Tamandua tetradactyla: one gene and its partner. The protein of the gene in region 1 purifies or fractionates together with the protein of each later gene. This does not show direct contact. Links are inferred from orthologs where the notes say so. Each region holds a gene or a part of one and is shown in the gene's direction. Other genes may lie near its edges.

What was found. Proteins that work in one complex are often made in the same cells at the same time.
Region 2: the proteins of OS9 (region 1) and SERPINA1 purify together in Homo sapiens (affinity purification with western blotting; 4 studies listed by BioGRID). This does not show direct contact. The link is inferred for Tamandua tetradactyla from reciprocal best matches to the Homo sapiens genes OS9 and SERPINA1.

The regions. Positions count from the first base shown.
Region 1 is NC_135333.1:125,000,491-125,008,443, forward strand, and holds the start of OS9 (protein OS-9), read left to right. Parts: upstream 1-4,698; 5' UTR 4,699-4,753; coding exon 4,754-4,915; intron 4,916-5,336; coding exon 5,337-5,513; intron 5,514-6,367; coding exon 6,368-6,431; intron 6,432-6,539; coding exon 6,540-6,616; intron 6,617-6,850; coding exon 6,851-6,949; intron 6,950-7,953. UniProt on the Homo sapiens protein: Lectin component of the HRD1 complex, which functions in endoplasmic reticulum (ER) quality control and ER-associated degradation (ERAD).
Region 2 is NC_135338.1:55,474,290-55,482,086, reverse strand, and holds the start of SERPINA1 (alpha-1-antitrypsin), read left to right. Parts: upstream 1-4,601; 5' UTR 4,602-4,719; intron 4,720-7,797.

The DNA.
Region 1 (7,953 bases):
AGTTTAGAACATTTTCATCACTCCAGGAAGAAAAAAAGAAAGAGCAAACCCAAAATAGCCTGTACCCTTTATTCTCCCCTCATCATTTATCCCTATTAATGGTGTGATACATTTGTTACTGTTGATAAACAAATATTAAGATATTACTGTTATAACATTGGATAATTACAGTTAAATCAATAGTATATTTGATAGATCATAGATTTCACGAGTTGCAGCCAAATATGGTAGGTGAGGTGTAAAACACCCACTAAAGAAAAGTACCTTCCTTTGAAAGGTTGACTTTGAGGTACACTAACAAAGCATTCATTACCATTTTAGCCAAAGAATTCCCTTTAATCTGTCATTGGCTCTATCTTGTGCAAACAATCCCAAAGGAAAAAAAGTTTATTGCAGTTTTAATGGTTGCTGTGGAAGTTGATAGAAGCCACGTGTCTGTTGTAGTCATCACCGTTAAAATTAGCATTGTGATCACCTTGCTAGTCAAGATGTAGTGGAGAGGCTGGAGGGAACTGCCTGAAAATGTAGCACTGTGTTCCAGTAGCCATGTTTCTTGAGGATGATTGTATAATGATATAGCTTTGACAATGTGACTGTGTGATTGTGAAAACCTTGTGTCTGATGCTCCTTTTATCTACCTTATCGACAGACGAGTAAAACATATGGAAGAAAAATAAATAATAGGGGGAACAAATGTTAAAATAAATTTAGTAGATTGAAATGTTAGTGATCAATGAAAGGTGGGGTAAGGGGTATGGTATGTATGAACTTTTTTCTGTTGTCTTTTTATTTCTTTTTCTGAACTAATGCAAATGTTCTAAGAAATGATCATGATGATGAATATGCAACTATGTGATGATGTGAATTACTGATTATTTTAGAACGGAATGATCATATGTTAAGAATGTGTTTGTTGTTATATTTTTTAAAAATTAAATTAAATTAAAATTAAATAAATAAAATTAAATTTAAAAAATTAACATTGTGTGTGAAATTCTAACCTGGTCATTGGAAATACAAGTTTCTCTCTTTGGAAAAAAAAGAAGATATTATTGTTAACCATAGTCCATAGTTTTCAGTAGATGCATTTTTCCCACATGCCACTCTATCATTAACTCCTTATAATAGTTTTGTAAATCTGTTCTAGTTCACAGAGAACATTTTTAATATTTGTTAATCACAGTCATCATCCACCACAAGGTTTACTGAATTATACATTCCCATATTTCAACCTCTGGCTTTCCTTCTGTTGACATAAATAACTCTAAACTTCCTCTACCAACCACATTCACACACAATTCATCACTGTTAATTATACGCACAATAAGGTGCTACCATCACCTCTATCCATTTCCACTCATTTAAATTCAACCTACTTAAAAAAATCTTCACATCTTAAGCAACACTTCCCATTCTCTAGCCTCATCGTATCTCGTCTACTACATTTTTAAGAAGATATTTCCATTTACCCAGCATTTTTAGGTGTTTTTAGTAAAAGAATTAATTAAATATGTAAACCAAAATATTGGAGGAAACAGAAGTATGCTTAGCTTTTGCAGGACAAGTTTTAATTTTCCTCAGAATTAGTAATTGCCATTTTTCTTTCCTTTGCTTTCTACACACTTATCCCTTATCCCAAACTCTCCTCTGGTTATGCATTTTTTTCTCAATATGCTCACATCACTAGATATTCTGTTAATTTTATTTTTTTGAAGAAATTACACCCAAACTCTTCTGACCTGCTCCAGTCTTGAAAACTGACTTCTAGTCCTGCCATACAGCTTTGGATCTCCCTTCACCATCCCCAAGAATTCTTTTTTGTCTCTCTATTGTGAATCCCATGTTTCTTGGATTCCATGCATTCCTCTTTTTTGACTTAATGATTTGTTTTGGCAGAATGCATCTTCTCCTATCTTTCTGAAAAACAATACATGGAGTGTTTATATTTTTCATATCTGAAACAGTCTTTATTCTGGATTCACAACTATATCATGATTTGGCTGAGTATAGAATTCAATGTTGAAAATAATTATCCTTGGAATTTTGAAACTCTTTCTCCATTGTCTTTTAGCTTCCAGTGGTGATGAGCTGATAAGCCTAATGCCATTCTGATTCTTGTATGAAACTTGTTCTTTCTCTCTGGAAGCTTTTAGAAATTTTTCTGTCTCCAGTGTTCTGAAATTTTACAATGATGTGTCTTGATGTGGGTCTGATTTGTTGTGCTGGATACATTTGTGTACCCTTTCAAGTTGGAAACTTAGCTCTTCAGTTCTGGGAAATACTTTTAAGTAATTTCTTTTGATTATTTCTTCCCTTCTGATTCTCTGCTCTCTTTCTAAAACTCTATTTAGATGTTCCACTTCCTGTACTGGTCTTCTAATTTTTATCAGTTTTCTACTAAAGTGCAGCAAATTTTCTTCTTCAACTTTATCTTCCAGCCTTTCTATTAAATTATTATCTCTGCTATCATGGTTTTAATTTCCAAAAGGTCTTTTTGTTTATCTGAATGGTAGTCATTTTTGTTAAGTAAAATAAAATGGCCACCTGCATTGGGGGTTTCCAGAGGGACCCCTTTCTGAGAAGGACTTTTCTAGAAGACAAAGACAATGGACTTGCAGGGGCTTTCCAGGAAGTTGGAACAATGGAATGTACCCTACAGAACTGCAGATAAGCAACAGCTTCTAATAAACCAGCTTTGGTCCAGGAGAGATAGCTTATTAGATGGGACAAGAATACCATGCTAATCAATTTATATCTGCTCCCCACTTTGTAATACCCCCCACCCCGGTAAAACTGAATCTTTACATCAGCCAATGAGAACATTTTCTCACGTGCCCCATATAAGTTCATCCTTTTCACTCTCTCAGTGGAACTCCCTTCTACTTTCTGTATGGGTTGCTGCCCAATTCATGTATTGCTCAATAAAGCTGGGAGATCCTAAATTCCATGAACAGTTTTTCTTTTAACACTTTTAAAATAACATCTTGCCTTTCTAAAGATGGCTGTACTATCTTATTACTCAGGATTTAGTGATGATTTTTAATTCATTTGCTTTGTTTTTTAGTCATCCCCCACCCACCCTCCACACCTTGCAGTCTCTCTTTCCTCTACTTTGTTTTCTTCTCTTTGATTGTTTTGGTTTCTTTCTTGCATATTAAACGTTTTTCTTAAATGCCTAATGATCCTTGGTTGTCTGCTTATGCCTAAGAATGAGTACAAAAAAAGCTGATTGTGGACAGTCCATGTGAGGGACTTGGTATATAGGCAAGTACTTAATTGAAAGTTTGGCTAATTCATTGAGAGTGCCCTGATGAGAGTATTTTTGTGCTTTTTTTCTTGGGCTAGTCAAATTCTCCACATTCCAATCTTCTGCCTAAAGGTATAATCATGCTGTTTAGGGATTAACTTTCTCAGGTAGGTGAAAAGTTACCTACCATACCTCCATTTGCTTTCCAGGTTCTAAAATGTTGCTGTCATTGCTTCTATTTCCTTTCTCTCTGTCTTTGTAGGTTCATAGATTAGGGGGATAATATGTACATTCACCCCCTTCCCTCTCCTCCTTGACTGGAAGCCCCCATCGTTTCTTTAGGATAACTTTGTTGGAGGGTATTGGCAGGGTCATGTAAAAGGCGTTTTCCAAATATATATATATATTAGAGAAGCTGCACATTTACACAAAAAGTATGTAGAAAATACAGAATTCTCATATAACCCAACACTTTGTGTTAGTATGGTACCTTTGTTACAACTGATGAAAGAATATTATTATAATTGTTCTGTTAACTATAGCCCATAGTTTACAAAAGGGTTCACTGTGTTGTACAGTCCTATGGGTTTCTTAAATTCAATTTTTATTCTAGTAATATATACAAACTAAAACTTCCCCCTTTTAACCATATTCAAGCATATAATTCAGTGCTGGTAATTACATTCACAATGTTGTGCTACCATCATCAACATCCATTACCAAGACTTTTTCATTACCCCAAATAGAAATTCTGTACCAAGTAAGCATTAACTCCCCATTCCCCACTCCCACCCCAGCCTCTTGTAACCTGTATTCTAGTTTCTCACTCTATGAGTTTGCTTATTCTAATTGTTTCATATCAGTGAGATCATACAATATCTATCCTTTTTCTGTCTGGCTTATTTCACTCCACATGAAGTCTGTAAGGGTCACGCATGTCGTTGCATGTATCAGAGCTTCAATTCTTTTTTTCGTGTGAAAAGATTATGACACATTACCAGAGCGCCCTCAAGTTGTATGTATATCTGAGGTATGTTTCAACTGTTCGTTGCCCAACAAGTATTAATTTCCAGGGAACTCGCGCTCACCCACCCTTTGGCTTCAATATTCCGCCTCTCAGGAGCCCAGTACAATGCAAGAAATGTCTAAAAATGTAATAAGAGATGTGAAAGGAAGCCGAGCTAGAACAGAGGAAAACTGCTTAAAAGGGCCCAGCCCAAGGACCCCAGTTCTTAGGAACCAGGGGCGAGTGGGAGGAGGTTCTGATATCGTTCATGATTGGTTGGTCTCCCTGGCCAATCACACACAGAGAATGGTTCGCTAATAGTGGCTAATCATCACCCCTCCCCCGTGGGACTTTGGAGTCACATTTACAAATGGGAATAAGGTACGTGAGAGGGACAGAACGTACAGCCAATGAGACCTTGCAGAGTTAATGGGCGGGGCGAGGCCTCTGCCAGGTTTAGGGCGGAAGGAGTTTCTCTGGCTGAGAAAGAGGACGGAAAAATGGCGGCGGAAGCGCTGCTGTCCAGTATGTTAGGGCTGCTGCTTCTAGGTCTCATGCTACCCGCAAGTCTGAGCGGCAGTGTTGGGAGTCTGAACCTGGAGGAGCTGAGTGAGATGCGTTATGGGATCGAGATCCTGCCATTGCCTATCATGGGAGGGCAGGTGAGGAGGCGTAGAGGTGGGGGAGATTCCGGGGCAGAAGAGGAAGAGTGGCAAGGTAGAGGAAAGGGGGCAGCTTCGGAATCTGGGGCAGGAGCCTAAGAAGAATCGGGAAGAATAGGTAGAGGGTTTATAGTGACTCTTGGGGATCGCAAACTGAGCTTTATTCCGTGGGGCCAGCGACCGGAGGGGTGGGGCTTCCCGCTGTCAGCCGCCAGGTTCCAGTTCCTGATGGAGACACTCATACTCCGCCCCCGCGTAGAAGTGGGTGTGTCCTCTCCCCTCCCCCACAGGTGGAGGACTTGTGCCTCATGCTCTCTCCGACTGGGCTTTCCCCAGGGTCTGAAGAGGGATCTCGTTGTTCTCCCTGATCCCAGCCTCTCTTCGCCTCCCTACCTCCCATCCCCCCCGCCTTCTCTCCCAGAGCCAGGCTTCGGACGTGGTGATTGTTTCCTCCAAGTACAAACAGCGCTATGAGTGTCGCCTGCCAGCTGGAGCCATTCATTTCCAGCGTGAAAGGGAAGAGGAGACACCTGCTTACCAAGGACCTGGAATCCCTGTGTTGTTGAGTCCGATGAAAGATGCTCCCTGCCTGCTGAAGGTGAAAGAACCTGGGATGCATGGAATGGGGACTTGGGAACTAGCAGCCTATCCGAGAGCTAGAGTACTGGTGAATGAAGGGTTTAGGGGAGTTCGGAAGACGGTTGGAGTAGACATGTAATACAGACAGGAAAAGAGCAAAGAATCCTGCAACCACTATGACACTCTGCCAAACGTAGAGGAGAAGTAGGATAGAAAGTCTTAGAATAAGTGTTAAGCCAAGATTAAGGAGCCAAAAGAGGGAAAGTGGTAGAGGGTCTCCTGCTTGGAGAAGTCTTCCTGCTAAACCTTAGCCAGAGACACCCCCTGCCAATTATTCTCTGCACGACTCTCCTAGTTTATTTTCATCATAGTACTTTTCATCATATTAATGGAATCATCAGTTGTTTGTTTGTTTGTTTGTTTTTCTGGTCTGATTCCCCATACTAAAGTATAAGCTCCATGAGGTCAGAGAACTATCTTGTTCACAGCTGTATCCTTTTTGTATCCTTAGAGTCTAGAAGAGTGAAAGGAACTTTATAGAACCTAAATTAGTATTTTAAGTTGGGGTGTTGTATGTTTTCTGGTCTGAGTAATAAAAGGATACCGGGATTCTTACCTCTATGAAGGGCAAAGAAGGATTTTTAAAACTCTAAAGGGGAAAGACTACAGGAAGAAAACAGACTTTAGATGCATCTTTCTGACTCACAGAAGGGAAACAGCTCTCTCTCACTGAGAGTATAGAGAGTGAGTGTGGAAGCACAGGGCAATGAGGAGTAGATGAGAGGTTGTATATCTTGGAGCTGGGAGAGACTCTAGTTCCCAGGAGGTACATCCCCACTCCATTCCCCTGACTGTTATTTTTTTAATTGTCAGACCAAGGACTGGTGGACATATGAATTCTGTTATGGACGCCACATCCAGCAGTACCACATGGAAGGTGACTACTTTCTCCCTAAGCCCTTGTCAGCATGTCATATGGAAGGTGACTTGCCTCCCCAGTCCTCTTAGAGAGAGTAACAGTACGTCATTGTGGTTTCTTTTGCAGATTCAGAGATCAAAGGTGAAGTCCTCTATCTTGGCTACTACCAATCGGCCTTTGACTGGGATGATGAAACCGCCAAGGTGTCAGGAGTATGGAATTGGGAGGGAAAGAGGTCTTAGTGTAGACTCAGAGCCCTGACAAGAAGGGGTGGGTCAGGATTTGCTGCTATGTTTCTTGGGGCTTGGTGGCAAATAGGACAAAGTTTCCTGGGTTCTGGATTCCTAAGATTTCTAAGGTTCTTATGGGGGCGCAGGATCATTCTTCCTCCTTGCTCTCTCTCACCCCTGCTCCTTCCTGCTCCCTATCCTCCCTAGGCCTCCAAGCAGCATCGCCTGAAACGCTACCACAGTCAGACCTATGGAAACGGGTCCAAGTGCGACCTCAATGGGAGGCCCCGGGAGGCCGAAGTTCGGGTAAGTCCATTCACATTCTAGGACAAGGGCAGCATTGCATCTTATAGTTGAGAGGGTTTCTCCCCGACCCTAAACCCAAAGTTTGACTCCTATTTCCAGCTGCTAGCTGAATATCACTGCCTGGTTCGTCAGAGACACTTCAGGTCAGCATTTCCCAAAACCTCGCATTCGTACCAACACCCCCTCCCCCAGCCACAATTACTCTTTTTTCTTTATCTCTACTTTCTGTCATATTAGCTAGAGACCTGAGTCTCATCCTTGACTCTTCCTTCTCCTTCACATCATCTTTCTTTTCTTCACTTCATGAGTTTTCAGTGAGTTCTTGCTGTATGTATACTGGGCTTGGCTCTGGGAGTACAGGGCTGAGCAAGCAGATGCAGCCACTGCCATCATAGGATGTACAGTCTAGAGGGAAGACAGATGTTAACAAAAGAATCAGGAATGAGTCACAAAAAGAATCAGAAGTGATATGAAGTAAATCACTCTAGTTTTCTGAGTAAAAAAACAAGTCCATTCATCCTCCTTCTAGGTGTCTGTTTTAGTTTGCTAATGCTGCCAGAATGCAATATACCAGAAATGGAATGGCTTTTAAAAAGGGAATTTCTTAAGTTACAAGTTTACAGATCTAAGGCCAAATGAAAAATGTCCAAACTAAGGCATCCGGAGAAAGATACCTTGACTTAAGAAAGATTCATGTCTGTCACATGGGATGTCATATGGCTGGCATCTGCAGGTCCTTGTTCCTGGTTCCGTTGCTTCCAGCTTCTGATGCCAGTGGTTTCCTCTCTAAGTGGGCCTTCACTTAGCTCCTCTGGGGCAAAACTCTGGGTTCTGGCTGGCTTAGCATCTCATGGGAAGGCACATGGTGACGTCTGCTGGGCTTTGCACCTCCAAACTTTCTCCAGGCATCTAGTCTCTCTGTTGGCACTTCAGGCATCTTCAAGTGTCTGTGTCTCTGTCATCTCTAAGCTTTTTCCAAAATGGTTCCCTCTTGAAGGACTCCA
Region 2 (7,797 bases), on another chromosome or scaffold:
AGAAAAGCTTTGTTATGACACACGTTAGTTTTATTAATTTTAATAAGCAGGTGGCAGAACTATAAATGCATGTTTTAGTCCTTCTATCAGCTGTGTTGTCACTCACCAATGCATAGATATGCTTTATTTCCTTCTCTATCTGATTAGGACAAGGAATGAAAACAAGGCACTGTGAACAATCCACACAGAGCTGGAGAGAGCAAGAATCACATGCAGGAAGCAGAGCCAGAGGTTGCACACACAGGGAAGAAGGCTCCAGCAGGGCGTGGCAAATTGGTGGATTCACAAGTATGCCCAGAGTAAGTGAAATAATTGTGCAAACTCAATTCACCTCCAGAAGATAAAATCTTGAAACATCAGGTTAATCCTGTTAATTAAAACAATTTATGAGAAGACAAACACAAGTGCTGTTTGTGTTAACAAGCAGGCCCTGCATTAAACACCCTCATTTAAACCTCACAACGGTCATGTGAGAAAGGGATTATCATCCCACTTTATAGATGAGGAGACCGAGGTTTAGAGATGTAAAGTGAAGCCTTCCCCTGGATCCAAGTCTGCCTGCCTCTGATTGCTTTGGCATCTCACAGGTGCTCTGAAAGATGCTTCTGACCTTGTACCTCCAAGAAGCAAAATGAGGGCAGGCCCTCAGGAGAGGGGATTGGAGGCATTTTCAGATAAGCAGAGACCTGAATCTGAGAATAGTGCTACTCACCAAGCCTAGAACCCAGGACCTATCTAAAAGGTTTTCCAGCCCAGCTCCCCAAAGATGATGGAGGTGGGTGGGCATTGCCTTGCAGTCTGGCATGTGCCTGAGGCTGCCCTAAGCACTTGATGCATTGTCTCATTTACTCTTCACAATCTTGGTGGAAGGCACTATTCTTATCCCTATTTTACAGATAAAGAAACTGAGGCATAGAGACGTTAAGTGGCTTGTCTACAATCACACAAAAAGAGTAGAGTTAAGGTTTGGACCAGATAGCTTAGCCTCTGAGCCCGTGATTTAATCACTGATTTATAATGCCCCCCAAGAGAAGGGAGCAGTGCTGGAGCAGGGAGGGGAAAGTCTGAGAGTGGGGATGTCTGGTGTGTGTGTAGGGGGGAGGAGGGCAGCACAGGCTGGTTCCTACACTCTCTTACCAAGGGGTTCAGCAGCCCTGAAATCCAGCCAGGGGACCTCTGGTCTTTGATCAACTTGGCCCAGGGCCCTTCTCCAGCATACCCCACACCTCACCCACAACTTGTTGCAGACCCCAGCCTCAGCTCTCATGCCTCTCCCCATCCCACATGCCGGACTCCCATTCTTGGGCCCTATGGAGAGGTAAGATCTCCCCAGATGCCCCTTATTTACAACCAGCCAAGATATGCATTCACTCCAGGGAACAGCCCAGAGGCTAATAGACAATTCCAGAAGTAACCAAGTGGATACAATTTTCCCCACCATGGTCTGTGGTTCGTGGGCACAGTGCCCTCAAGAATGGCCACTGGGTGCCCCCTAGGCATTCTGTCCTTGCTCATTTTCCCAGACACCCCACCCCTTCTCTCAGGAGTATGCCCAGAGTAGTTCTCTGCAGCATCAAAGGTGATAGGAAGATGCCAAGAGGAAAGTGTGGGAGTTTAAAGATAGACAGATAAGGAAGGGTGGGACATGGAGTCCTTGACCCAAAAGTCTCAGGGAGGACCTGCACCCCAGGACTGGCCTGAGAGGTCTGCCCAGCAGAGAGATCTGCTGGATCCCTCCTGCATCCAGCCAGGATCTGGGACATACCTTCTCCCAGCCTCCAAGGGCCCCCTTTGGGCATTTCAGAGATGGCTCATCCTCTTCCTTCTGCAGCTGGCCCTGGGCACCAGCAGAGATTCCATATGCCCAAGCCTAGGCAAGTAGGGTCACGCCTGCCATCTCCATTAATCATGAGCTGGGTGCCATCCCTCTCACAGAGGCCAGGGGAACTGATGACTAGTTCTGGGCCACACAGCCCTGGGACAGGGCAGGACAGCTGGTGACACACAGAGCTACCTGGGCTGGAAAGGCATGGCATGGCATCTGCCTGACAAGCTAGCGGCTTTGTGTAAGGCCACTTCCTGCCCCAGTGCCCCCACCCCTCCAGATCTGTTGCCACTGCCAGGAGCCTCAGTCCTCCTGGGGAGGCAGAGATTGCACAGCACTCAGGGTGCCCACAGCCTCCCCGCAGCAGCCCAGGAGCCCAGGAGCATTGTTGGAGGAGGAGGAAGTGGAGGAGTTGGCCTGCCCAGCAGGCGTGGCGGCCACGGCAGCCCTGCAGCACCCAGAACTCAAGGTAGAGGGGCAGGTGCCCAGGCCACTGGCCAAGGAGACAGAGTTGGGGAATGCGGGAAGGTGGGCTTCCTTCCAGAGAGCATTGCTCACCCTGGGTGAGAGATAAGAGGGGCAGCTGGGCTGTGGGGCTTTTGTACAGATAGGGAACTGAGGCCCAGGGAGGGAAAGGAACTTGCCCAGGAGCATGGAGGACAGGCCCAGCTGTCTAGACTGTGAGCAGATGTAGAGTCCTGGAGAAAATGCCCACTTGTCAGCTCAGGAGAAAAAGCAGGGGCCTTAAAGGCAGAGGATGGAGCTGTGGGCCTAAAGGGGGAGTGGGGCAGAGAGGGGAACCTCGCCTTTCTGAGCCTCTGTTTCCCACTCCTATTAGAAAGGCAGTATACAAACTCAGCCCACAGGCTTCCTGTGAGTAAATGAAAGAATGCCTTGCCCCAGGGACCAACTGCCTAGAGGAAGCTCCTAGAACATACCCTTTCCTCACCCACCCCAAGGCCTTCCCTAATCATGGTCAGCAAGGGCTGTGGCCAGGACCTCAGGGAGACCCACTAATGCAGAGGAGGGATGGCAGGCTGAGCTGTGCACACCCAACTCTGGACTAATCTTGGGTTGCTGCATTTAGTCCTCACAACACCAAAATGGGATAGGAACCCACTTTACAGACAGAGAAACTGAGGCACAGGAAGGTTAAAGAATTTTCCTGAAGATTTCACCACTAGCGAGACACACCTAGCCCCCGAGTCCCTGTTCTGAACCTGGGTGTAAAGGAACCAGCAGGTCACTCATCTGGCAGAGCCCCAAAGTAGAAGCAAAACTGGGACTGGGTCCATGAGAGAAGGGGCTAAACTCATTTACTCACACACTCAGCAAATACCTTCTGAGTATAGCCCAGGTGCCAAGCAGGCACCAGACCCTGGGGTATGAGTGGGCAAAGCAAACAGAAGGTCCTACGTGAGGCATACAGTGTGGTCATCAGAGAGGCAGCAGAAGAAAGAAGGGACAAAGGGGGTGGGAGGGTTGATGCTGGTTCATTTAGGGCAAGGCCACGGAAAGCCTCTCTGGTTGGGGGGAGCTTGGGGAGAGGCCTGAATGGAGTGAGGGAACAGTGTTTCTGGCAGCAGGAACAGCTAGCCTCCCTGAGACTGGAGTAGGCCCACTAGATTCCAGGGAGAAAAGGTCAGTGAAACTGGAGCAGAATAATCACTGGAGTCCATGAAAAGAGGACCCAGCAGGGGGTTTGTGGGCCACTGTAGGGACTTTGATTTTGTCTCTGAGCCAGAGGGAGCCACGGATTGGGATGGAGGTGGCACAGGGGGTATGTGAATTTACTTAGGATTTTAAAGGGATCACAATCAAGAGGAGCTGGGCAGGGCTGGAGCCTACTGACCTCTGCCCTAGCACACCACCCCCAACCACCATCAGAGTCCCCAAGGCGACGGCCTGCACCTGTGGCCTGGACCACTTTCCTGAGGACAGGGCAAGCAGTGGATGTGTTGCACCCGCCGGCTGGGAGCTGAGCCTCCTTCTGTGACAGCAGCCCGGAAGCAGCGCTGAACAGAGGAAACAAGAGAAAGGACCTACTGCGGGTCAGGTATTTTAAACAAATTACCTTGTGCAGCACTGACAAGGATGCTAGGAGGGGAAACTTCCAACAACTATGAGGCAGAGAGAAACACCTCCTGGTTCAGAGAAGTGAAGCCGTCTGCCTGAGGCCACACAGCTCTTTAGTGGCAGATACAGGCAAGATTTGACCTAGAATGGCCTCAGCCAAAGCCAGACTCTCTTTACAAGTTCATACTCTGGTCCCCACCTGGACCCTTGGAGACCCACACGAGCCTAAAGTGACCATGTCGGCCTCATCATTTCCCACCATCCCCTTGGCAAAGTCAAGAGGGATTTTACACCGGAGGCTGGTTTGGTGATTTTAGATCAGGGGCCTCTCCTTTCTGGGCCTCAGTTTCCCCCTCTGATAATAACCCACATTAGCCTCCCCAGGCAGAGCCTTCAAAATGACTCAGCAAATGGGGGCTCTCGCTCTTGGGAGGGTGAGGCAGCCCTGGAGGGCTCCTGAGCAGGCGCATAGAGCTGGCCACGTGGGGCTGGGCCCGGAGGTCTGACTCACCCCCGACACACACTCACCCCCAGCCTTAGATGCAAGACGCGGCGGTTTATGAGCCAGAAAAGCCGGCTCCCTTTGGCATTCGGGGCAGAGGGCCATGCCGAGAGCGGAAGGGCAGCCTGGGTGGGCGGCCTGCTGCCCATCATGGACTTAGTCCCTGTTTGCTCCTCCGATAACTGGGTGACCTTGGTTAATGTTCACTAGCAGCCTCCCCCATCGTCCCATCTGCATCCACTGCTTAAATACGGACGAGCGCAGGGGATCTGTCTCCTCAGCTTTGGTCACCAGCCCGGCTCTGGGACCGTGAATCGTGAGTATTCTTTTGCTGGGGAGAGCCTCCCAAGACCCTCCTGCTCTGTGTGGCCAGGCAGGCAGCTGGTCTGGGGCCGATGGGGGGTGGCCCCAGGAGACTCAGGCAAGATGGAGCCTGAACCCCTATTTCCTGTTGTCATAGCCACAGCAGCCCCAGGGTCCCCGCTTTCTGAGCCTGCCCAGGGGTTCCTGATTGAGTATATAGTCACAGCCTATATATTCCATAGGCAAGAAGTAGAAGACCCTCCATTCTGGGGGTGGGGGGAGGTGGGGGTTGGCATCTGGCTCCACAGTCCCCGGACCCCAGAAGACCCCAGGACACAGCAGCAGCAACAGTGAGGGTGGTGGGTCCTGTTTGCACTGGACCTGTATCTTCACGGCTTTCCTGTGGTCTGTGTCCTACAAGCTTCACAGGCCCTCCATGCTTGGGTGCGTGCCCTTTTCCCCTTCTACAGGTGAGGAAGGTAAGGCCCAGGGAGGGGCAGTGACCAGCCCAGGGTCACGTAGGGACCGCATCGGCCTCCAGCCTGTTCAGACGGAGTGGAACTGTGCAGGCCCTCAGCCTGGATGGGCCCCCACATGCGGTGGGGACAGGGAGCTGGGGGCTGGGGCCAGGCTGCCTGAGTTTGAATCCTGGAGGGTGTATGATTTGGGGCAAGCTGTTACCCTCTGTGCCCCCAATTTCCTCATCTGTAAAATGGGTATAACCATAGTAGCCATCTTGGACGGTTTTTGTGAGCTTCAATTCACCCATACGTGAAAAGGCTGAGATGTTGCCAGGGGTCCTAGCCCCAGACCCCAGCTCTGCCTACCAGGGTCTACTCTAGAGGTATTTCTCAGGCTCTGGCCAGAAACCCCAAATGCTGGGCTGGCCTCAAGGCCCTCTGTCGGATGCTCAGTAGTCTTCTTTGCAGCTAACATCTCTGTCCTCTTATACAAAATAGAGATAACCTTTGCCCTCCCTCCTTCCCTCTCATCCCACCTTACTCTCTGGAATGTTGGAAGGATTTGATTTTTCTATTATCAGTTTTTGGAGGTGAGGGCTCCAGGGATAACTAAAGCCAGAGGAGCTGGAGGCCCATTTGGCAACCTGGAAAGGTCCATGACAGCATCAGTAACCATAACTTGGGCTTCCTGAGAGCTTACCATGCACCAAACACTTCTCAAGACTTTGTGTATATTCAATCTGCACGTTTTGGCTCTGGGAGGGAAGGCCATGCTGATCATCACCAGGAAGGTTCAGAGAGGGTAAGTGACTTGTCCAAGTCACACAGCCAATGGCCATTAGAACTCAGGCAATCTGGCCTCAAAGCCTCTCCCCTTGGCTGCTAAGCCATGCTGGCCCTTTATATTTAGCCAGGCCATCTCTGAGGTTTTTTTCTGTTTGAAGACTCCTCACTTCAGCTTTGAACGAAGAGAATGCAAGGAATGGAGCAGGAATGCCTAATCTTATATCCAGTTTCTAAGCTCCTAGCTCCGTGGTTTTTAGTAACCTCCTGGTGTCTCCATTTCTCCAACTATAAAATAGGCTAATAATAATTCACCCTTCATGGGGTAAGCTCTGAGGGAAGATTAAATGGGACAGTGCCCATAAAACACCGGATGTTTAGTAAGTGCAATGCTGCTTCTGTTTGTTTAGCATAGGGCTCGGAGCTAATAAACCTTAAATTAACATGAAGAGTTGAATATACTGTTTGTTTACCAAATTCAGAGGTAACACCGCCTCACTCCTTTAACGCCCCTGGATAGAAATGGTGTGAGATCAGGCAGAAGGACAGCACACGCCATTCTCTCCTGCCTGCCCAGTCCTGCTCACACCTGCCCTGGATATTGGCAATAGCACCATTAGATTCTCACTGTTTGGTTTAAAGTGTGGACTCTGTGCTCACATACTTCTGATGACATCACCACCCAGTTCCTCTTCTCCAGTTAGGTTTCCCCAGCCTGGGCTTTGGGGTGTCCTCCCTCCCAGAGGGGGCTGGCCTTGATAAAAACGAGAGAATCGAATCGAGGCCTTGGGCTCCTTGGGTTGTAAGGAACAGATTCAGAAGCAAATGAACCAAAAAGGGGATGCTAGAGGCCAATGTCAGATCCTCCAGGGCCCAATTCTGATTTTCTGTGGGTCAAAGACCTGAAGACGCAGCTGCCTCAAATGGCGGCCAGAGTGGTGAGAAAACAAAGGGTGGTTCAGGATTTGTCCCTAACTTGCTGTGTGAGCCTGGCCAGGCCCTGCCCATCTCTGGGCCTCAGTCCTTCACTATGAAAGAAGGAAATTAGTGTGTAGGATGTAACACCCGGGAAGATTAGAGGTAGATACTCACTGCCTGCACCACTGGCTATAGTTGCCCCACACCAGTGTGCCCCTGAAAGGCCAGAAGCTCCTGGAGTGGGAGCGTACCTCACCCATGCCCCTCCCATGAAAATTCTCAGTCTCAGTTGTGCTCAATCAAACCCCGGATCTACCTTCAATAAAAATCTAATGTAATCAGGAGACCTCATTTTGGCCCATCCAGGCCCTCTAGCTCCAGTGAAGGAAAACAGGGCCCCAGGGACAAGGCAATGCCAGCCCAGGGCCAAGTGTACAGTAGTGGAAACACAGGGATCCCCGGCCTCTGACCTCAGACCACTCAGCACACCTAGTGTCCCCACCTTGCCTGTGCCCAAGTCCCATCCAGTCCCTGAGCCCTGCAAGGATGGGGAATTTCCAGACCTCCTAAGGACTCCCAAATCCAGTCAGGAAGTAAGGGAGACACCTGAGGGAGATGGAAATAAACAGAACTAATTTTAGCACTGGCCTTGGAGCTGAAACAACTGGCTAGTTTTAAGGAAAACATAAACATGTTTGCTCTATTTGGATTATTAGAAGCACAAAAGTCAGAAAAAAGGTGGTAAAGGGAAATAAGTTTAGTGATTCATTCTGTTGTTTTGGAGGGAAGAAACTTCTAAACGTCCAAGTGTGGACTTTTCTTTTTCCCAACTTTTCCCATCAGGAAAATTCGAGATCATATCCCAAATTCGAGAATAAATTTCTCTTTGCATTTTATGATGATTTTAGTTATGTGCACAATAGCTAGGT